Linked DNA regions of Saccharomyces cerevisiae S288C. The gene in region 3 interacts genetically with the main gene of each other region. Each region holds a gene or a part of one and is shown on either strand. Other genes may lie near its edges.

Region 1 (3,468 bases), on a different chromosome or scaffold from region 3:
AACCATCAGGATCCTTCAAAAAGGCAATATTCTTCATTCTGCCTTGGTTAAATTTAGGAGACCATTGGATCTTATCGCCGTATTTCACTTCAATTTCTTTACAAAGGGCGCCAGCGTCATCACAACTTATGCAGATGTGACCATAACCCTGGGGCTCTGAGTTACCGTTATGATAGTGGAAGTTTGGATCATTCTCAGTTCCCCAATTATGAGTTAACTCCAACACACTTTCACATGAAAAAACGCTGTCGGTCTTTGGAACGCCATAACCAAGAAAGTATAACGTAAATTTTGCACTTTCGTGCTCACTAGTTCTTAATAATTTCATGCCCAACACATTCTGGTAGAATTCTAAAGACCGGGTTGGGTTTTTAATACGAATCATGGTATGATTGAACTTGTTACCTACTGAGCCCTTTGGGTATTCCTGACCCTCTCTAGAATATGTGATCAACTCAATCCAGTATCCATCAGGGCCTAAAGCAAACGCAATGTCCTTCTGTCTTCCTTCAGAGAGTCTCTTCTTGAATTTGACACCCTGAGATTCTAGCTCTTCGCAGGTTTTATTGATATCGGATACAGAAAAACAGATGTGCCCAAATCCACGATGAGGTTCCTCATTCCCGTTGTTGATCTTGTAGTCTGGGTTTTTTTCAGTACCCCAATTGTGAGTTAGTTCTAAGACACCGTGTGCGCTAAAAACATCAGGCTCTCCATTCTTATTTTTGGGTATGTCGTCTTTTGGAAAGCTTAAAAAGTACAAGCTAAATTTTGCTTCTTCAAAATCCTTTCTGCTTAATAGCTTCATACCGAAGTGTTCGGTGTAGAACTTAACGGTCCTTGCTGGATCCTTGACTCTTAAACATGTGTGATTAAGCAGAAGGGTTGGATCATTCGAGGCTTTCTCAATCTGAATTGGATAGCGTGTACTATCAGTGGACATTGTTAGTTTGTAGCTGGTGGCGTATCTGGTCTGAAGTGTCAAAAAAAAGGCATGGAAATGTTATTCCGATTTTTTTTCTCCCTATTTATAAACGTCACTAACTAGAAATACGGGATATCAACTACTACGAGAGAGGGACATTCTAGTATCAAAGAAACTTACTATGACGCAGTTTAGGATCCCTGTGGTGACTACGTATCCAGGTCTACTACTCCATCGTAAAGCCCCTTGTTTATTCAGTGTCCAGATCATATGCGGGATGTGTATTTTGTGCTGAGTGGAAAAATAAGATCATATGCTCAAGAATAAAGGGTTAAAGGGTATGGAAATTTCAGTTCTCCCTGGCTCAAGAACATTGTCAGTATTCCTATAACTGAAGCTGAGTGGTACTAATGCACCGAGATGCAAAGTCCGAACCACCCCCACCCCCCTCTTTACCTATTTTTTATATTTTGTGATAAAGGGATAACTCGTCTTGCCTTCACTGCGCTTCGATTCTACTTTAGCTAAACTAAGCGTTACTTTGTTTGAGAATCTCTCAGCCGTTAAATCAACGTACTTGTATACTAAACAGTATATTCACGTGATAACTTTGCCTTACACCTATGATATAGATAAATATATACATATATATGAGTGTGTGTGCATTGCGTCACTAAACTATGTTTAATATGACAGAAGGTTTTCGTTTAATTTTGCCGCTACCCGAAAATTTTGGCAGTTGCAATTTATAACTAAAGGAACCACCTTATTGTAAATTCCTCAACGGAAAAGCTATGGCTTAGCTAGGGTTGACAATGTCAGTTTACCATTTACCAACGCTGTTGAACCCGCTGGTTAATGCTATATTTAACTGTCCCGAACCAGAAAGATCCCCATTGAAAAAGCTTTTCGCTAATTTAAAAACCCGTAGGTTTATCCTCCTAGCACCTCCTTCAGAATACCTTTTGAATTACCACGATGTCAAGAGCAAACTGCCGTTACATGACCTCTGTTATAATGCAGAGTTTATTAACTCTTACATATTGTTAATGACTGAAAACTCTTACATAAATACGAATTCAAGGGACAGTCATTATGAAACGTTAGATGGTAAGACCGTTGTTATTCAATGGAAGAATAATGTGATCCATGCCTTAAATGGATTTCATATAAGGCGAAGACTAAAGATTCTAGAGACAAAAATATTACCCAATTTTAATGACTACTTTGAAGGGGCGGCTGATTTTATCATACTATTCATAGATCAACCTTTAAATTGCGAATTTGTACCTAACGACTACTTACAGTGTTTTCACAATTATGAGAAAATACCAAAAAATGCACATGCTATGCCAAATCTGTCGATAGATTCTTTTCAGCAAGAAAGATCGTCATTCGAGAATATATTGCACATTCATCCTGCTCGATTAACACAGCTTGGCCAATTGTTTTCGAGTTACAGAACGCTCGCTCCTGGTGATGATCCATCTAGAAGTATTTTTGAAAGCATCGTGCAACAAGCATTTGATGGAATGAAATCGGATTCACTTTTCAAGAACTTTTCTAATCTTTACGATCTTATACACGACTATTTTGAACTAAATCTTTACGATGATATATGGTCTAGGCTTACTACACATTTCAAAGGCCACGAAGTAGACACTGAAAAAATAAATATTTTTCAGTGAACCAGTTGTTGACAGATTTTTACTCAAAAGATTATGGGGAATTTAAATTACACGACATCACTCTTATTGAAAGGCGTCTCCATCTAGCGTCCAAACATCTTCAAAAGTTGGCTTTGACCCATTCATACGCTGAAAAATCTAAAATATTAGTTGAAACTCTACAGAAATTATCAGGTACTACCGAAATGGATTCACATCAACTAGAACTACCAGACGGATTGAATAACATGACGATGGATGCAGACACTTTAATTAGCCTTTTTGTGCTCGTTGTTTGCAGAAGTGAACAAAAGCACCTTAAAAGTCATCTTTACTATTTGCAAAATTTTTCGAATAACTCTTCTTCTACAAAATTCGGCATTCTAGGGTATGCTGTATCCACACTGGAAGCAGTGGTTTGTTATTTCGAAGACTTCAACAAAAATACAGGCAACGTGGCGAAAGCTAACACATTATGTGAAAAAACTAAGAATTTATTAGATAAGTTGTCATGTGAAAACCCCACAAATGAAGTAGAAGATCTGGCAACATACAAGGATATTTTGACCTACAGAAATGAGCAAGGACAATCCATTCTATCCATATGTATAACAAATCATAAAAACTACATCTTATTAGATATTCTTTCTGAATATGAAAACGACTTTCCAGTAGAAGACCTTTTAGAGGACGAAACGATTGATGGTTCTACGCTGCTTATAGAATCGATAAAAGCAGGAAATTTAGAAGCCGCGAAAGTTCTCATAAAGATCATGCTGTTCAATTGTACTGAAGAGGAGCTGGTTTCTTATATCAATAAAACAGATAAATATGCACGTACCGTGGCTCATTATCTAACCCATGAAATGGATATAC
Region 2 (5,611 bases), on a different chromosome or scaffold from region 3:
AGAAAAACTGTTTCGCCATCTTAATATATGCATCTTTATTATGGGCCACTGAGACCATCCCCCTTTTCGTGACTTCTCTAATGATTCCTCTGCTTATTGTAGTGTTCCCTGTTATCAAGGACCCTATCACCTCCCAACCAATGTCTCCCCGTGATTCCTCTCAGTTCATCTTATCAACGATGTGGTCGAGTGTCATCATGCTTTTGCTGGGTGGGTTTACTTTAGCAGCCGCCCTTTCCAAGTACAACATTGCCAAAGTCCTTTCTACGCATATTTTGGCATCCGCCGGTACAAACCCACATTTTATTCTTTTAACAAATATGTTTGTGGCGCTCTTTGTTTCCATGTGGGTTTCTAATGTTGCTGCCCCCGTTCTTTGCTATTCAATTGTTCAACCTTTGCTCAGAACACTGCCAAGAAATTGTTCCTATGCCAAAGCTCTAATTCTTGGTATCGCTCTTGCCTCCAATATCGGTGGTATGTCTTCTCCCATCGCTTCTCCTCAAAACATTTTTTCTATTGGTATAATGGACCCTTCACCATCTTGGGCTGAATGGTTTATGATTGCGCTACCTGTGTGCTTTATTTGTGTCATGGCAATTTGGGTGCTATTGATCATAACCTTCCCTCCTGAGCCAAATGTGAAAATTTTGCAATTGCATCCATCCCGTGATCCATTCACTCTGAAGCAATGGTTTGTCACTTTAGTTTGCATTATAACAATTGTTCTTTGGTGTCTTTCAAACCAAATCTCCGGTATCTTTGGTGAAATGGGAATCATATCTATTATACCTATAGTAGTCTTCTTCGGTACAGGTCTTCTAACTTCGGATGATTTCAATAATTTCATGTGGACAATCGTTGTTTTGGCCATGGGAGGTACCACCCTAGGTAAGGCGGTAAGCTCATCCGGTTTATTGTCTACAATGGCACAGTTAATTAAGGCGCAGGTTGAGCATGAACCAATCTTCATTATTGTGTTGATCTTCGGTCTAGTGATTCTTGTAATGGCCACTTTTGTCTCCCATACCGTCGCGGCAATGATCATCGTACCATTAATGAGTGAGATCGGTTCCAATCTACCTTCAGGTGATCATTCTAGACTATTGATCGTTATAGCCGCCCTATTATGCTCTAGTGCTATGGGTCTTCCAACCTCTGGTTTCCCCAACGTGACTGCCATTTCAATGATTGATGAAGTTGGTGATAGATATTTGACCGTGGGTACATTTATTACGAGAGGTGTACCAGCCAGTTTGTTAAGTTATGCCGCTATTGTTACAGTAGGTTATGGCATATTGAAAGTAATGGGATTTTAAGATTATCCATAGAGAGAATGAAAGGTTACTAATATAGTATGTATACGTGCACTATTATTTAATTTTACTTTATATTGCCTCTAATTATTCTCAATCACAACCAAAATACTTTGAATCAAAAAATCTGGTCAATGCCCATTTGTATTGATGATTTTGTAACTTTTCTCTGGAGATGATCATACCAGCAAAAATGTTGACTTTGTTATCAAATGCATTTAATATACGTCGGATACCAACTTCAGTGGCCAAATAAACCACCACGCTAATCTTTTCCAAATCAATACCATGATCTAAAAGCACCTGGATGGCCATGATCATGGCCGCACCACTTATGATTTGACCTTCCATTAAGAAAACCTTGCCAAACTTTTCTATATTTGGGGGTAAAAATTCGCAATGCAGTTGAGGTTCCCCAGTTTGTGAATCGGACTGAATCAACAATTTACCAATTGTGATATTGGGGATCGTCTTTCTCAAAGACTTCATAAAACAATCGCCAGATCGAATAATATTAACAGCTGTAACTTGATCGAATTGACAGGCAATAACGTTTTCCATGGTATGCTCACCAGGTGTAATTATGTTCGTATGTGCTACAGGAATGTCATCAAGTGCCCATGATAACAAAATTGTTGCTAACCTGTCAAAGTAGAAAACAAAGTCCGCGCAATTTAGATTTTTATTTAGAAGCATAGTATGCAGCGAAAGAACTTGGTTGGTGGGCGGCAATTCATGAATTATGTTACGATTAAGCACATCTTGTGAAGGAGAAGAGCCCAATTTGATTAGCTCTCTTAAGTGTTCATTTGATTTTAGTTCCAGTTTTGACTTGATGTGGTTAATGATTAAATTTACCGCTGTAGCATTATCACTCATCGATGGAATGATAGCATCTGCATTCTTCATTGTTGGTTTCACAAACTTTACCGCATTTGGTTTCACAAATTTCTCCCATTGTTGAATACAACCATCCAAATCTCTCCCTCTGGAAACTATATCTCTCGACAATCTTCTTGCTAAGCAGACATCCAAATCAGCGTCAACATAAATTTTCAAGTCCATCAAATCCAGCAATCGGCGATCGTAAAGGGCGTAGATCCCTTCGATAACTACCACACTGGCCCCGTATATGACTATATTTTTATCAGGAACTCTATTGTGGTGGACGAAGCTATAAACTGGGATATTTGTCCTTTTGCCCTCCTTTAAGTTCAAAATGCACTTATATGCCAAATCTAAGTTGATGGCATTTGGCTCGTCGAAATCGTATTCATTTTTAAAGGCTCTGGCTCTGTCCTCTGGGCCTAATGGATTGTAAAAGTTATCCAAAGATATTAATACTGTCCAGGGAACATTAATTGACGACACAATCTTAGCAGCAACGCTTGTCTTGCCTGAACCTGAAGCACCACCTATACCTATTATATATGGAGTTGTCCATGGTGGGATATACCGAGAGCTTTTTCCTTTTGTTTTTTTGACATCTACTTCACCATCCATGACTGCATTAGCTTTCAATGTGTCTCTTGTTTCATCGTCTAAAATTGAAATAAATGATGAAGATCGTTCTTTGGAAGGTGCTATACGATGGGACATAATAAATAAAATAAATGCGAGTTCGAAATTAAACGTATGAAATTATCGAAGATGTCGCATATAAATAGTAAATAAGACGTTATCCAAGGCCTACAGCCTTACGAAAAAAAAAAAAAATCACATCTCTTATCTTATCGATCTAAATTTTTCAGTTTCCTTTTTTCATCTCGAAGCTCATCGCATGAAAAAAAAACTTCGATATGTGAGCGTATTAAGACAATAGAGGAAATAGTGAGAACAAGTGGGAAAATTAAAGACTAATCATCGAAAATATGCAAGAATTCTTTAAGTGCTCGTATCTCAAATGTAGCCAAAACAGTACTAGCCCATACAACCTGATGACGAGAACGTGCTGAAAGTGGAAGACAGTTAGTTACCCGGACAATTAAAAAGTGATATTAATCAATTGTATAAGTAATAACGGATAGCTGCTATATGTTTAATTGGCATCTATATAGATAACAAGCGTGTATAGCAACACATGTCAAGTATTACATCTGAAACCGGTAAGCGAAGAGTGAAACGAACGTATGAAGTTACAAGACAGAATGACAATGCAGTAAGAATAGAGCCTTCTTCCTTGGGTGAGGAAGAAGACAAAGAGGCCAAGGATAAGAACTCTGCCTTGCAGCTAAAACGATCACGCTATGACCCCAATAAAGTTTTTTCTAATACGAACCAAGGTCCAGAAAAGAACAATTTAAAAGGAGAACAACTTGGATCACAAAAAAAGTCATCAAAGTATGATGAAAAAATAACGTCAAATAATGAACTTACTACAAAGAAGGGTCTACTAGGTGACTCCGAGAATGAAACTAAGTACGCCTCTTCTAATTCTAAATTTAACGTAGAAGTTACTCATAAAATAAAGAATGCAAAAGAAATTGACAAAATAAACAGACAACGCATGTGGGAAGAACAACAATTGCGAAATGCTATGGCGGGGCAAAGCGATCACCCTGATGATATAACATTGGAAGGCTCTGACAAGTACGATTATGTGTTCGACACAGATGCAATGATTGATTATACTAATGAGGAGGACGATTTACTACCTGAAGAGAAACTTCAATATGAGGCACGTCTAGCACAAGCTTTAGAAACTGAGGAAAAGCGTATACTGACTATACAAGAGGCAAGAAAACTTTTGCCTGTACATCAATACAAGGATGAGCTACTACAAGAGATCAAAAAAAATCAAGTTTTGATTATAATGGGTGAAACCGGTTCTGGTAAAACCACACAGTTACCCCAATATTTGGTAGAAGATGGATTCACTGATCAGGGAAAGTTACAGATTGCCATAACACAACCACGTCGTGTGGCGGCCACTTCTGTTGCTGCAAGAGTAGCAGATGAAATGAATGTTGTGCTTGGGAAGGAAGTGGGTTATCAGATCCGTTTTGAAGACAAAACAACCCCAAATAAAACGGTTCTAAAGTATATGACGGATGGTATGTTACTAAGAGAATTTCTTACAGATTCCAAATTAAGCAAATATTCTTGTATTATGATTGATGAAGCTCATGAACGTACTCTAGCCACAGATATCCTGATAGGTTTGCTGAAAGATATTTTGCCGCAGAGGCCCACTTTAAAATTGCTTATATCATCAGCAACAATGAACGCAAAAAAATTTTCAGAGTTTTTTGATAATTGTCCCATTTTCAACGTTCCTGGGAGAAGATATCCTGTAGATATCCACTACACATTACAGCCGGAGGCAAACTATATACATGCCGCTATAACAACTATTTTTCAAATTCATACTACGCAAAGTTTACCGGGGGATATATTGGTGTTTTTAACGGGGCAAGAAGAAATTGAAAGAACAAAAACCAAACTGGAGGAGATCATGTCTAAATTAGGTTCTAGAACAAAACAAATGATTATAACTCCTATATACGCAAATTTACCCCAAGAGCAGCAATTGAAAATTTTCCAGCCGACTCCGGAAAATTGTAGGAAAGTTGTTTTGGCAACTAATATTGCGGAAACTTCATTGACCATTGATGGTATTAGATATGTCATTGATCCTGGATTTGTTAAGGAAAATTCGTACGTACCCTCCACTGGAATGACCCAACTTTTAACAGTTCCATGCTCAAGAGCTTCAGTTGATCAGCGTGCCGGTAGGGCTGGTCGTGTTGGGCCGGGAAAATGTTTTAGAATTTTTACCAAATGGTCATATTTGCACGAGTTGGAACTTATGCCTAAGCCTGAGATCACAAGAACAAATCTTTCTAATACGGTGTTATTATTATTATCGCTTGGCGTTACTGACCTAATAAAGTTTCCCCTGATGGATAAGCCCAGTATCCCCACATTACGGAAGTCTTTGGAAAATTTATACATTTTAGGTGCCTTAAATAGCAAAGGGACAATCACTCGGTTAGGTAAAATGATGTGCGAGTTTCCTTGTGAACCTGAATTTGCAAAAGTGCTTTATACAGCTGCTACGCACGAACAATGTCAAGGTGTACTAGAAGAGTGTTTGACCATAGTTTCGATGCTACATGAAACACCTTCATTATTTATTGGTCAAAAAAGAGATGCTGCGGCAAGTGTGTTAAGCGAAGTGGAAAGTGATCACATATTGTATTTGGAAATCTTCAACCAATGGAGAAACTCTAAATTTTCCAGAAGTTGGTGTCAAGACCACAAAATTCAATTCAAAACGATGTTGAGGGTAAGAA
Region 3 (5,996 bases):
CAATATGAGGTGTCAGCCATAATTATTTACATGATAATACTGATATTTTTTCTTTTTCGCGATATATTGAAAAGAAAAAAAAATTGCGAGGTGATTCCTCATCGCATGTATTCATTTTAACGACATTGAATTAAGCCTTCAGGGGGGAGAACAATTTAACGATTGTGTGAGTGTGAATTTGTGCTGAGGATAACAATGACGAAACCGCGTTACAATGACGTGTTGTTTGATGATGATGACTCGGTACCATCAGAATCAGTTACGAGGAAATCGCAGAGAAGAAAGGCAACGTCACCTGGGGAATCAAGAGAGTCCTCAAAAGATCGTCTACTGATACTTCCCTCTATGGGGGAATCATATACTGAGTACGTAGACTCTTATTTGAACTTAGAATTATTGGAAAGGGGAGAAAGAGAAACACCAATCTTTCTTGAATCTCTGACAAGACAACTAACGCAGAAAATATATGAACTAATAAAAACAAAATCTTTAACTGCAGATACCTTGCAACAAATAAGTGATAAATACGATGGTGTAGTGGCAGAAAACAAGCTGTTATTTTTGCAAAGACAGTATTATGTTGATGATGAAGGAAATGTTAGAGATGGCCGAAATAATGATAAAATATACTGTGAGCCAAAGCATGTATACGACATGGTGATGGCAACACACTTGATGAATAAGCATCTTAGGGGTAAAACATTACATTCCTTTTTATTTTCTCATTTTGCCAATATTAGTCATGCCATCATCGATTGGGTCCAGCAATTTTGTTCAAAATGTAATAAAAAGGGCAAAATTAAACCATTGAAGGAATATAAACGTCCTGACATGTACGATAAACTACTACCAATGGAAAGGATACATATTGAGGTATTCGAACCCTTCAATGGAGAAGCTATTGAGGGAAAATATTCTTATGTCCTTTTATGCCGAGACTATCGCTCTAGTTTTATGTGGTTATTACCACTTAAGAGTACCAAATTCAAACATCTTATCCCAGTTGTTTCCTCACTTTTTTTAACATTTGCTAGGGTTCCAATTTTCGTAACATCAAGCACTTTAGATAAAGATGATCTTTATGATATTTGTGAAGAAATTGCATCAAAATACGGTCTCCGTATTGGCTTGGGTTTGAAGAGTTCTGCGAGATTTCATACTGGGGGTATACTGTGCATTCAGTATGCTCTAAATAGTTATAAGAAGGAATGTCTAGCCGATTGGGGTAAGTGCCTAAGATATGGCCCTTACAGATTCAACCGAAGGAGAAATAAGAGAACGAAACGTAAACCTGTGCAAGTACTACTTAGTGAAGTTCCAGGTCACAATGCCAAGTTTGAGACTAAGAGAGAAAGGGTTATAGAAAACACATATTCCCGTAATATGTTCAAGATGGCAGGTGGAAAAGGTCTTATATATTTGGAAGATGTCAATACTTTTGCCCTTGCTAATGAAGCGGATAATAGCTGTAACAATAATGGAATTCTTCATAATAACAATATAGGAAATGATAACTTTGAAGAAGAAGTGCAAAAACAATTTGATCTAACTGAAAAAAACTATATCGATGAGTATGATGATTTGGCACATGATTCTTCAGAGGGCGAATTTGAACCTAATACCTTAACTCCCGAAGAAAAGCCTCCTCATAATGTCGATGAGGACCGAATAGAGTCCACCGGCGTGGCAGCCCCAATGCAGGGAACAGAAGAGCCTGAAAAAGGGGATCAAAAAGAAAGTGACGGTGCATCACAAGTAGATCAAAGTGTCGAAATAACTAGACCAGAAACTTCCTACTATCAAACTCTGGAATCGCCGTCAACAAAACGACAGAAATTAGACCAACAGGGTAATGGAGATCAAACAAGAGACTTTGGCACATCAATGGAATTGTAATAATATGTAGGATAGAATGAAAGGAGGAGTCACCATAGGTGAAAAAAAAAAGCACCTATTGCATATAAAGTATTCAAAAAGGTGTTGAAAGCTCTTCCTGTATATGACCCTGTATTTAATGTACGCGGTTAAAAAATTTTTATATTTTTAAATAAGTATCAACTTGGATAATATGATCTTGCCCGCAAGGTGGTTTTATATGAATAATTACTTTTTTTTTTTTTTTTTTTTTTTTTTTTTTTTTTTAATTGAACAATAGATGCAGAGGAATGCTCCAAAATTTATTTCCTTGAACAATATTACAAGAGGCAGATATATACTTTTCCTTATTTCCCTTAGTAAAGAATGATGCATGTATACTATTACAAATTTAAACTTCACCCCCACCATGGATGCAAAACAAATAGAAAGCCATTATCATTAGTTTTTTTTTTTCATTCAATTACGATACTTGCTGAAGAAATCTTGATGAAATTCTTTCCAGTCTTGAATCCATTTAGTCCCTGGAGCCAAAAACGTTGTTCGCACATGATAAGTCCCGGGTCTTTGTCCGAACCCAGACCCTGGGACAGTACAAATACCTGTAGATTCTAGCAAAGATGTGCAATAGAACTCATCAGGTTCGATGCCAAGGCGTTCGCTTTCACAAAGAGCTTTCTTAGGTAAAACAAGCCTAGGGAAAAGATACATTGCACCCTGAGGTTTTTGGCATTCGATACCCTCTAGTTCCTTAAACGTCTCGTACAATAAGTTTGCTCTCGTACGCATTTCATGAAAAATTTTCAGCCTTTCGTCATGATCTTGTTCATAGGACTCGTCTCCAGGCTGGGGTGGTTTGACCATTAAATCAACCACAGCTTGTCCTGTGACAACAGAACATATGGATATAGACATGAGTTTGAAAAGAGCATCTCTTATTTCTTGAGAAAACCCAATAATTTCCATGTAACCGCCTCTTTGGCCGCACTCATCCATGAATCCTTTAGAAATGGAGTGTAAAGAGGCGAGCTGAACGTTATCGAATTTTCCTGGATAAAGATGCTGCAATTTTCTTAGGACTTTCTTCATCGAATGAAATTTAACATCGTTGAAAATGTTTTCTTGATAGACCTCATCAGAAATGATTGTAATGCCGTATTTCGCAGCGATCAAACAGATCCTGGCAATGGTTTCTTCAGAAAGAACTGCACCGGTTGGGTTACCTGGATTAATAACTATCAGCACAGATGGTCTGATCTGTTTTTTCAAAGCATCTTGCACTACTTTTTCAATTTCGTCGCTGTTTGTAGACCAATTTGACTCCTCATCTAAGTAGTATGGCAGCACTTGTGCATTGAAAAGAGATGCGGATGCAGTATAAAGCGGATACTGCGGAATTGGAATCAGCAGGCCTGTTTGAGAATCTTTACACAATAAAGATAACAAAGAAGTTGCCGCGGACGAAGCGCCAGTGGTTAAATAAATATCTTCCGGTGTAGCGGGCTCACCGCCGTCTCTTCTAGTAATGAAGTCAGCAACTGTTTGCCTTATTCCTGGCACACCTTGAGAATGCGAATATGCCCCTATAGAACCGCCAATATCATTCAAGAGGCGCTCAGCTCTTTCCAAGGCGTCCCTGGAAAACAAGTTCAAAGAAGCCAGTTCATTATGGCCTACTCGTAAAATTTCCGGGTACTCCAGGATGGCCAGTACTTGCCTGGTAAAGGTCAAAGGCTTCTGATCCAGTTGCTGCGGATTACCAATGTTCGCATTGATAATATCATCGAAAGGCAAAACTTCTGGGTTTTTTTTCAATTCCTCTTTTAGCTCGTCAGCTCTGGTTGGAATAGCTCCTCTTACAGCATATTCTGCCTTAGTGACACCTGTATTCAAATCTTTTTTAGTAATCTTGCCAGCGGGCTTAAAATCCAAATCCTTTGCGGTGAACACACCTTTCAAATCCTGTTGGTGTGTCATTGTCATGTGTTCTTACTTCTTCTGTGTTTACCACTTACAAAAACAACACTACTGTGGCGCTCCTTCCCTTTATTCTTATCTTTTATGCCTCTAGAGATATGAGGAAATATTGGGGTATTTACTGAATGAGAAAAGGATGATGTCAGTCAAGAAAGGATCAAAAAGAAAAGTGAACAGAATATAGTTCCCACACGAAGTAGTAAATTTAGCTATCCTAAAAGTGTATTGGTAATTTGAAGAGATATGTAGATGTACATATGGGACCATAAGAGTAGGAAAAATAAAATAAAATCGCCAAACAAGTAGGAGAAGCCTCAAGATACAAGCCGTTTCCATGGAGAAAATATTGCGAATGAGGCCAAACTTGAACTTTTTTTTTTTCTGCTAAAAAATTCAGAAAAAAAATGAAATTATTTTCTTAGGTATAATGAAGTAATTATGACGAAGTACTTTGAGAACCCATAAAGAGAAGCAATTGAAGACGTGTGGAGGACATCAGCCCGCAGCACATTAGTAGAAACAATAGTATCGTGATGTGATCCCTCTTGGACCCTTTGCCAATCAAGGGTGAAGCGAAGCCATTTAAAACGTACGAACAATGGCGGTAGTTGAGGTATGGGTGAGGCCGCAGATTAAATCCCGGCGGCAGGAGCAACCGCTTTTAACCAGAATTGTATGTTATAAAGTATCTGTATATACGTGTATATATGTTGTGTGTATGTGAATGAGCAGTGGATCTAAGTAACTAAGTCCTCTAGTTCTTCAGGATCGAGGCCTTCTTCGCTGTACACTAACTCCATGGTTGGGACGGCGGCAACTTCTTTGAAGTTCTTAGACAGCAGTGGTAACGCTGCACCTTCTTCTTGATTCCGAGTGATGCACTCAGTCTCATCTTTTTCGCCTTCTTCATCAATTTGTTCTAGTGGGAGTAAATCAACTTTATCTGGGGTGTCATCTTCGTCTTCCAAGTCAAGCTTATATGGTGAGTTGAACGTCTTCAGCTTTTCAATATCATCTTGTTGAAATGGGGAATAGCCTTCTGGTACATACGGTAACGGCTCCTGCCTCTGTGGTGCTATTTCGATATCATAGTCATCAGTTTTATCACTTTTATCGTTTTTAGTTTTTTGCTCATTCTTCGTGGAGTTCTTTATGAGTTGTTGCAGACCACCTTGCTCATTAAATAGTCCTAGGCCACCATTTAATTCATTTTCACCGTCGGAGGAATCCTGTTTTAAAAGTGCACTTTGGAGTTTTTTGCCAAGTTTACTCTCGGAATCTTCATTACCTTCATCATCGTCGGAACTCTCTTCATTTTTACCTGAATCTGCAAGATCTTTTAAAACTAGACTTTTCATTTTAGGTAAAGCATTATAACCAAGGACAGAACCGTACTTTTGTAACTTTCTTGAATTGCTTAACAAATCATTATGGTTGGCCCTACTACGACTGCGAGAAATTTGCGAAAGTTTCCTGAGTTGGTCGTTTTTGCGTATAGATAGTGTATTCTGTAGTTGTGGTAAGTCTGCATCTTTACTCTGATTAGAAGTTTCGGGAAAAATAAAGCTTTTCGATCTATTGTTGTCTTTTGCTGCCAGAGGCAATCTTCCTTGTTGTTGCGCATGGGTATGCAACCTTTTTGTGGGTGACACCTCCTTCCCTCCTTGTATGTACTTTAATGTGTTGCCATTGTTGCTGTTCGCATCCCTTTTGAGTTGGTCCAATCTTACAGGTGGTTTTAAAATATTAGAGTGCGACCTTTTCAGCAAGTGAGCCGGCGTCTGTGGAAAGTTAATGCCGGAACTTTCATTCCCTGTATATACGATATTATTCTCTTTATCTTCGTTAGCTGGCATCATAAAGGTTTATTATCTAGCACTTAATCTAGCTTGGTACCGCAGAAGTGTAATAGTATGTGAATGGGAAAAACCGCTAGCAACCGTTACTTGCCTTCGCCGAATATTGATTTAAAGCTGCATTTATTTTGTTTGTTTATTTTGTTTGTTTTTCTTTTTGACCTCTTACACGAGTTTTTTGACGCGTTTGAGATCTTTGTGTGAAAACGATAAGCAACCTACGCTAACAAATACACACGTCGCACGGAAAGTGATAGTGAAGCAGATATTTCTCGCAAATCCTATGTT
Region 4 (7,957 bases), on a different chromosome or scaffold from region 3:
ACAATATGAAGTTGGAGGCTTGGAATATTTTGTGCGATGTATCCAAGTTCGTTTTCTCCCTGAAACATTGCAATCATAAAATGTTTCAAAGGTTTTCAACTAAATGTCAGAGTGCTCTAATCGATTTGCCTATCTCTAGACCACTGCGCCTAAATGATGATTCCAAAGATGAAGACGACATAATTCCTTAATTTATTGTTCACGCCGTTCACTTATACGAGATAGATATACTGATAGAGTGTGAGTGATATTCTTAAGTCTTGCTTTTCGAGGGTGTAAGAAGCTATGTTCTTCAGGCGAGATTATTCTACTCCTGCCTTACTTGTTTGTAATATTTAGTTCTGATGGTCATGATAATTCTATATACAGTTACATTAAGTATATACTTAAGCGGGCAGCTTACTAATATAAATTTTGTGGCATTTTTGTTGGGATATGAGAATCATGTATCGTTGATTTACAAAGCGAATTTACGTTACCAGGAATAGGGAATACTCTCTTGAATTCTAACATAAGCACAGAAATGCTGAAAGAATACGTCAAAAAGTAAATTTACAGAATTAAAAAAAAAATAATTGTTGCCGGAACATGAATAGAGTGTATCAATATACAATATAAAAATTCAAGCATTTTCATTAACGGGAATGAAAAAATTGTATATTAGTACTTCTTTTTGCAAGATATTTAAATCTAGGACCCTCATCACAATGATTCATTTAAATCATTAACGTTTTTTCAGAACAAAATAATAACCTCTAGTTGAAAAAACTTCAAAGCCGCAACAAAACCAAAAAAAAGTCATAATGTCGAGTAAAAATAAACTCGATGTGTTAAGTACTAGTTATATAAAATAAAATTAAATAACGCCGTATCTACCTACTGGCTAAAAAAATCATTTGTTCACAACAGATGAGGTGTTTCGCCCTTCATCTACCACAGAAGTTTCCAAATCTTCCTTCGGATCTTTAACATTAATTTCTGCAGCTGCTGCTTTGGCAGCTGCAAAAGGGTCGACTTTAGTCGACTTGAACTTTCTTGCTGGAACACCAAGTCTAAACAATTCATTTATCTCAATAAAAGTCCTGCCAGCGGTTTCTGGTAAATCGACAACAGCCCAAGCTAAAGTGGCCAGACAAAATCCTCCCCAGAAAAAGCCTGATTTAGCACCCCAATTCCATTTCTCTGAGTTCAATTGGTACATGATCAAAACTGTAACTACAACTTGGATCACATTGTAAGCATTACGAGCCAAAATAATTGTTTTGGTTCTTAGCCTTGAAGACGGTATTTCAGACACTAAGCAAAAAACAACAGGTGCAATACCGAGGTTGTAAAAGAACGCGACAACCATTAGAAGAGCACCACTACCCATTTTAGCGCCATGAGTGTCTGAACATCCTAAACCACCGATAATGAAGAACATAATAGCCTGAAAAGCCAGCCCAAAAGCATAAAGGTCAAATCTGCCACAATATTTTGAAGCCCACCAGGATATAAACGTTGCAGCAATACCAAGACAATATTGGATAATACTGAAAGTAAAAGCCGTATCAGTGCTAACACCAGCTTTTTCATAAAAGTAAGTTGAATAACCAATTAATGATGCACCACAGGAGCATTGACCGATCCAACATAAACAAGCTATTCTCGTTCTTCTCCTGTTAATACCATCTTTCACACAATCCCAGTAAGTTCCTTCATCAGACATTTTCTGCTCCTTTTCTATAGTAGTTTTGATTTTATCGAGTTCCATACTCACTAGTAATTCTTTCTCGGGTCCTTTACCACTTAATGTTCTTTCAAGTGATCTCCTCGCTTGATCAATCCTTCCTTTTTTAACCAGCCACCATGGAGACTCTGGTGCAAAAAAAATACCTACCGCCAAAGGAAGGGGCCAGATCCACTGCAAAGCAAAAGGTAGCTTATATCCTAGTTCTGAGTTGGCATATTTGTTCTGGGAATTTTTCATAATACCAGCAGCGAAAAGTTGACCGAACGCCCAACATAAATTAGAATAAGTCGTCAAATAGTATCTTAGGGCCAAAGGACAAATTTCAGAAGCATAAGAAACGGTCAAACATTGGAAACAACCCCATGGCATACCACACAATGCCTGTCCCACGGCAATCATACCCAAACTCTTGCAAAAATACAGAATGAAAATGAAAGCCGCTAAAAAGAACAACGCCATGATCAGAGTGTAACGGTTGCCCATGTAATCTACAGAAGGCCCAGTCATTTGCAAACCGACAATCTCACCTGCCATGTAGCATAGACATAGACCGATTTGCCAGGAAACTGAAATTTCATAATCTCCTGTATTGCTATTCAAAGAACCATATTTTTTTTGAAAAACAGGCAGGGCATAGAAAGCTCCTAGAATGGCTGTGTCATAACCCTCTTGAATCAATGTTGTGGAAACTAATAGTGACCAAGCAGCAGCTTTTGGATATGTCTTCAAAGCTGTCATGAGTGGCATTCCCCTCTCACTTTCATCTGCCTCTTTGGCGTCCTGCATAGCTTCATCGAGAAGGTCGGGGACTTCTTCATTATTATCGTTTGGTATTAGTGAACCTGGACCGTACTCAAGATGGGAAAGATCAAAATCACTTTTCTTACCTTGCTCCTCCATCTCTATCGAGTTGAATTCGGTAGCGTTCACGCCATTCTCGATCTCATCTAAGTGTGAGTCGTTCCTGTCTTTTTTTCTGTTTATTAATGAGGATAATCCCTTCATAGTTAATTAATAGTCTTGGATGTAATTCTTATTGTTATACTGAATACGCTAAAACCACTCACAACAAGTATGGAGTATATTGTGTCTCTTTATATACTGAGTACTTATGCAATATGCGCTCACTCAGGATGAAATGTACACAGCCGAAAGTATATTGAAAGCTGCCTCTGTGGAAACTTCTATCTAATGTTGTCTCCAGATGTAGACTATGAGGCCTGAAGAAGTCTTTAAACACCTGTTGGAGAGTATAAGGAGACTGCTACAACAACGTCTTCCCCACAAAAATTATGTGGAGGCCGGTATGATACCTGCACAAACGTTAAGTTACACATGAAAAAGAGACTGACATAACTTTGATCTCTGAAAATATGTTTTCCCCTGAGTAGCTTCACTGCTTGGATACCAATACGAATAGACCTTGGCTATAGTAAGTTGCATCTGTACCGTAGAGATTCTTGCAACCTCGCTTAAACTCTCGCTTTTATATAATATTTCTCCTTATTGCGCGCTTCGTTGAAAATTTCGCTAAACACGGGGTTTAAGTTTAAGTTTACAGGATTTATCCGGAAGTTTTCGCGGACCCCACACAATTAAGAATTGGCTCGAAGAGTGATAACGCATACTTTTCTTTTCTTTTTTCAGTTCCTAGCGTACCTAACGTAGGTAACATGATTTGGATCGTGGGATGATACAAACAACGTAAGATGAGTAGTTCCTTCCTCAATTCTTCTTTCAGCATCATTTTCTTGAGGCGCTCTGGGCAAGGTATAAAAAGTTCCATTAATACGTCTCTAAAAAATTAAACCATCTATCTCTTAAGCAGTTTTTTTGATAATCTCAAATGTACATCAGTCAAGCGTAACTAAAATACATAAATGACTATTTCTGATCATCCAGAAACAGAACCAAAGTGGTGGAAAGAGGCCACAATCTATCAAATTTACCCAGCAAGTTTTAAAGACTCCAATAACGATGGCTGGGGTGATTTAAAAGGTATCACTTCCAAGTTGCAGTATATTAAAGATCTTGGCGTTGATGCTATTTGGGTTTGTCCGTTTTATGACTCTCCTCAACAAGATATGGGGTATGATATATCTAACTACGAAAAGGTCTGGCCCACATACGGTACCAACGAGGACTGTTTTGAGCTAATTGACAAGACTCATAAGCTGGGTATGAAATTCATCACCGATTTGGTTATCAACCACTGTTCTACAGAACACGAATGGTTCAAAGAGAGCAGATCCTCGAAGACCAATCCGAAGCGTGACTGGTTCTTCTGGAGACCTCCTAAAGGTTATGACGCCGAAGGCAAGCCAATTCCTCCAAACAATTGGAAATCTTTCTTTGGTGGTTCAGCTTGGACTTTTGATGAAACTACAAATGAATTTTACCTCCGTTTGTTTGCGAGTCGTCAAGTTGACTTGAATTGGGAGAATGAAGACTGCAGAAGGGCAATCTTTGAAAGTGCTGTTGGATTTTGGCTGGACCATGGTGTAGATGGTTTTAGAATCGATACCGCTGGTTTGTATTCGAAACGTCCTGGTTTACCAGATTCCCCAATTTTTGACAAAACCTCGAAATTACAACATCCAAATTGGGGGTCTCACAATGGTCCTAGGATTCATGAATATCATCAAGAACTACACAGATTTATGAAAAACAGGGTGAAAGATGGTAGAGAAATAATGACAGTCGGTGAAGTTGCCCATGGAAGTGATAATGCTTTATACACCAGTGCAGCTAGATACGAAGTCAGCGAAGTTTTCTCCTTCACGCACGTTGAACTTGGTACCTCGCCATTTTTCCGTTATAACATAGTGCCCTTCACCTTGAAACAATGGAAAGAAGCCATTGCATCGAACTTTTTGTTCATTAACGGTACTGATAGTTGGGCTACCACCTACATCGAGAATCACGATCAAGCCCGGTCAATTACGAGATTTGCTGACGATTCGCCAAAGTACCGTAAAATATCTGGTAAGCTGTTAACATTGCTAGAATGTTCATTGACAGGTACGTTGTATGTCTATCAAGGTCAGGAGATAGGCCAGATCAATTTCAAGGAATGGCCTATTGAAAAGTATGAGGACGTTGATGTGAAAAACAACTACGAGATTATCAAAAAAAGTTTTGGTAAAAACTCGAAGGAAATGAAGGATTTTTTTAAAGGAATCGCCCTACTTTCTAGAGATCATTCGAGAACTCCCATGCCATGGACGAAAGATAAGCCCAATGCTGGATTTACTGGCCCAGATGTTAAACCTTGGTTTTTCTTGAATGAATCTTTTGAGCAAGGAATCAATGTTGAGCAGGAATCCAGAGATGATGACTCAGTTCTCAATTTTTGGAAAAGGGCCTTGCAAGCCAGAAAGAAATATAAGGAACTTATGATTTATGGTTACGATTTCCAATTCATTGATTTAGACAGTGACCAGATCTTTAGCTTCACTAAAGAGTACGAAGACAAGACGCTGTTTGCTGCTTTGAATTTCAGTGGCGAAGAAATTGAATTCAGCCTCCCAAGAGAAGGTGCTTCTTTATCTTTTATTCTTGGAAATTATGATGATACTGACGTTTCCTCCAGAGTTTTGAAACCATGGGAAGGTAGAATCTACCTCGTCAAATAAAATTAGTGCCGACTTTTTTTTAGCGCGTACTTTAACGAAATAACAGATGATTTTTCACATGATTTTTGTTAGATAAATTTTTTATATGTAAATGATGATAACGTAAAAGCACTGTTGATAATTTGTTTCACCATTATGGGTAAATGTGTTTTTCTACATGATCCTCGTTCATTATGATATTTAGCGTGTATATAAATGTGAATTCCAAATTATTAATGAAGCATAAGAAGCACTATCCTTTCTCTTCGGATGAAAACAAGGGAGAAGAAACCTGTGCTGGTATTAATGCTGGAATGTCTTGCTAAGAATCATACAAGGTGGTAGTTTTATTTAATAAAGAAAAGAAAAGGACTAGATATAAAAAGTGAAATGAATATAAGATAGCGTTAAGAGATGCCCACAGTACTTGACACATAATTTAGCGTTTTCTCGGGAAGCTCTGTGATTTTATGATTCAATAACACAGCGTAATTGATTTCGTGATGGTTCGATCCTATATGTAATCTCATGTAACACTCAGGCGAGTTACAAAATCGATTCAACATTGCCGGCTTATGCGTTTACGTCAAGTCTGAGCATGCCTACCCCCTTCCGAACCCGCCTTTTATTGTCTAGCCTTCAGATGAACTAAACCAATCATCTGTCCATAATCCATATGCTTTAGACAGTGTGATTAAGCAAAAGAAAATAAGCGCATAAGAATCTTGCTACTTCGGTAACTCTACAACATTAACACCCCACAATCAATATATAAAAGCCAACGAAGTGAAGAGAAGAGGTGGAATGACGCTCTTATCCTTTGAGAAATTTGACTACGAAAATCTGTGTCCCCTATGCCATTAGTTATTGAGCTATAACTATATATCAGAGAAGTGTAGTTATTCTTCAGCAACGGGCCTATAATCTGGATACGTATGATTACTTATCGCTGTAATAATTGTAAATTCCTGGAAGAAAAACACATGACCAGAATGATAGACATATTGAAACGGTGAATAAAAGGGAGAAAAAGGCTTAAAGGCTTTCTGTATTAGTAACACTAAGCCCTCTATCAATTTCATCCAAACAGAAAGACTGCAGGTACATCCATAGGATAGAAGTTCTGTATGTAAGCCGCCACTTTTTGTCTCCTTCACTTACCATATAATGAATAGAGAAACGTAGACCTAGGCGGCAACCGTTGCCTAACATACGAAGCGCTGGTGCTGTTCTCCGATTATTAGTATTACAAAAAAAATTATATAATACTTATTAAGATGTTGATTTATCAATTTCCGGTATAGTTTCCGGTATGGCCAGCTTGATCCAGTGGAAGTTCCGCTGTTTCAGAACTAGGGCTTCGTAGCACCTCGAATGCTCATTTATTCTTGTCAACATTTTTGCTGGCAGTGTATAAGACTGTAGGCACCTACAATATACGACTCCGGTATTCGATAAGTCTTTCACTTTCTATTTTAAGAAAAACAGAATCGACAATTTTCCCGTAGCAACCGTTTAGAGCACAAAGATTAGGTGGCCTCTTAACGAGGGTTCAAAGCAAATTTGGTTTTGGCTTTTTCTTGGCCAAAAGCTGCAGCTGCATCTCTGAAGGCACCCTAAAGGGATTCTTCGGAAGTATGTACACTGTGAGAAAACATTCTTGTGCCTTGGAAATGCAATAAAAGGTATAGGCACTATGAAGCGTGCGCCTCGTATACGGGACCTATGAAAGACGCATCGTTCAAGTACAGAAGCACCGTAATAATATGAATAATGAATGTGGGATGAAAATTGTACACTGAGGCATTTTAGGTGAGAGATGGGTGCCAGATGATAACTCGTTTGTGCCAGGGAAGTTGGCAAGACATTCATATAAATAGAGCTGCTGTAGCTATCCATCTTTGAGGTATGCGCTTTCATTTCACTATTTCTTGTTAAGCTTACATCAGCACTAAAAAACAAAACAAATACAATGGTCAAACTAACTTCAATCGCTGCTGGTGTTGCCGCCATCGCTGCTACTGCTTCCGCAACCACCACTCTAGCTCAATCTGACGAAAGAGTCAACTTGGTTGAATTGGGTGTCTACGTCTCTGATATCAGAGCTCACTTGGCCCAATACTACTCTTTCCAAGTCGCTCATCCAACTGAAACCTACCCAGTTGAAATCGCTGAAGCCGTTTTCAACTACGGTGACTTCACCACCATGTTGACCGGTATTGCCCCAGACCAAGTGACCAGAATGATCACCGGTGTCCCATGGTACTCCAGCAGATTAAAGCCAGCCATCTCTAGTGCTCTATCCAAGGACGGTATCTACACTATCGCAAACTAGAGACTGATGCCTTTACGAATGAAATTCCATAAACCTTAAGAAATAACGGAAAAAAAAAAAAAAGCTTTTTTTTTTTTTGATAGTATAAATAGTTGATTATATGTAAGTGTATATTAATATTGTTACTACTGGTCAATCGTGATATTTATGAACAACTTGGCGGAGCAAGGACAAGAATCCTCTCTTCCTTTTGTGGTATTCTTCGATGTGTGTCCACTTCAACGACATGGGTCATCAATATCTATGTTAAAAAATCATATTTTAGACTCACTTGCT

What was found.
Region 1: mutations in ALT2 (region 3) and YML003W together harm fitness more than expected from each alone (negative genetic interaction), as found in Saccharomyces cerevisiae (one large-scale study listed by BioGRID).
Region 2: mutations in ALT2 (region 3) and URK1 together harm fitness less than expected from each alone (positive genetic interaction), as found in Saccharomyces cerevisiae (one large-scale study listed by BioGRID).
Region 4: mutations in ALT2 (region 3) and YBR298C-A together harm fitness more than expected from each alone (negative genetic interaction), as found in Saccharomyces cerevisiae (one large-scale study listed by BioGRID).

Annotation. Positions count from the first base shown.
Region 1 is NC_001145.3:261,743-265,210, forward strand, and holds YML003W (uncharacterized protein), read left to right. Parts: upstream 1-1,740; coding exon 1,741-2,613; downstream 2,614-3,468. Other genes in the region: lactoylglutathione lyase GLO1, read right to left, coding at 1-943; VRL1 (Vrl1p), read left to right, coding at 2,799-3,468.
Region 2 is NC_001146.8:644,736-650,346, reverse strand, and holds URK1 (uridine kinase URK1), read right to left. Parts: upstream 2,916-5,611; coding exon 1,410-2,915; downstream 1-1,409. Other genes in the region: PHO91 (Pho91p), read left to right, coding at 1-1,319; DEAH-box RNA-dependent ATPase PRP2, read left to right, coding at 3,397-5,611. UniProt on the Saccharomyces cerevisiae protein: Catalyzes the conversion of uridine into UMP and cytidine into CMP in the pyrimidine salvage pathway.
Region 3 is NC_001136.10:675,907-681,902, forward strand, and holds ALT2 (alanine transaminase ALT2), read right to left. Parts: upstream 3,859-5,996; coding exon 2,335-3,858; downstream 1-2,334. Other genes in the region: replication fork barrier binding protein FOB1, read left to right, coding at 196-1,896; PDS1 (securin), read right to left, coding at 4,590-5,711. UniProt on the Saccharomyces cerevisiae protein: Inactive alanine aminotransferase. Forms a catalytically active Schiff base with PLP, but lacks alanine transaminase activity, probably due to an altered structural conformation of the dimeric enzyme.
Region 4 is NC_001134.8:801,739-809,695, forward strand, and holds YBR298C-A (uncharacterized protein), read right to left. Parts: upstream 3,519-7,957; coding exon 3,297-3,518; downstream 1-3,296. Other genes in the region: transcription factor MAL33, read left to right, coding at 1-191; MAL31 (maltose permease), read right to left, coding at 893-2,737; alpha-glucosidase MAL32, read left to right, coding at 3,613-5,367; seripauperin PAU24, read left to right, coding at 7,319-7,681.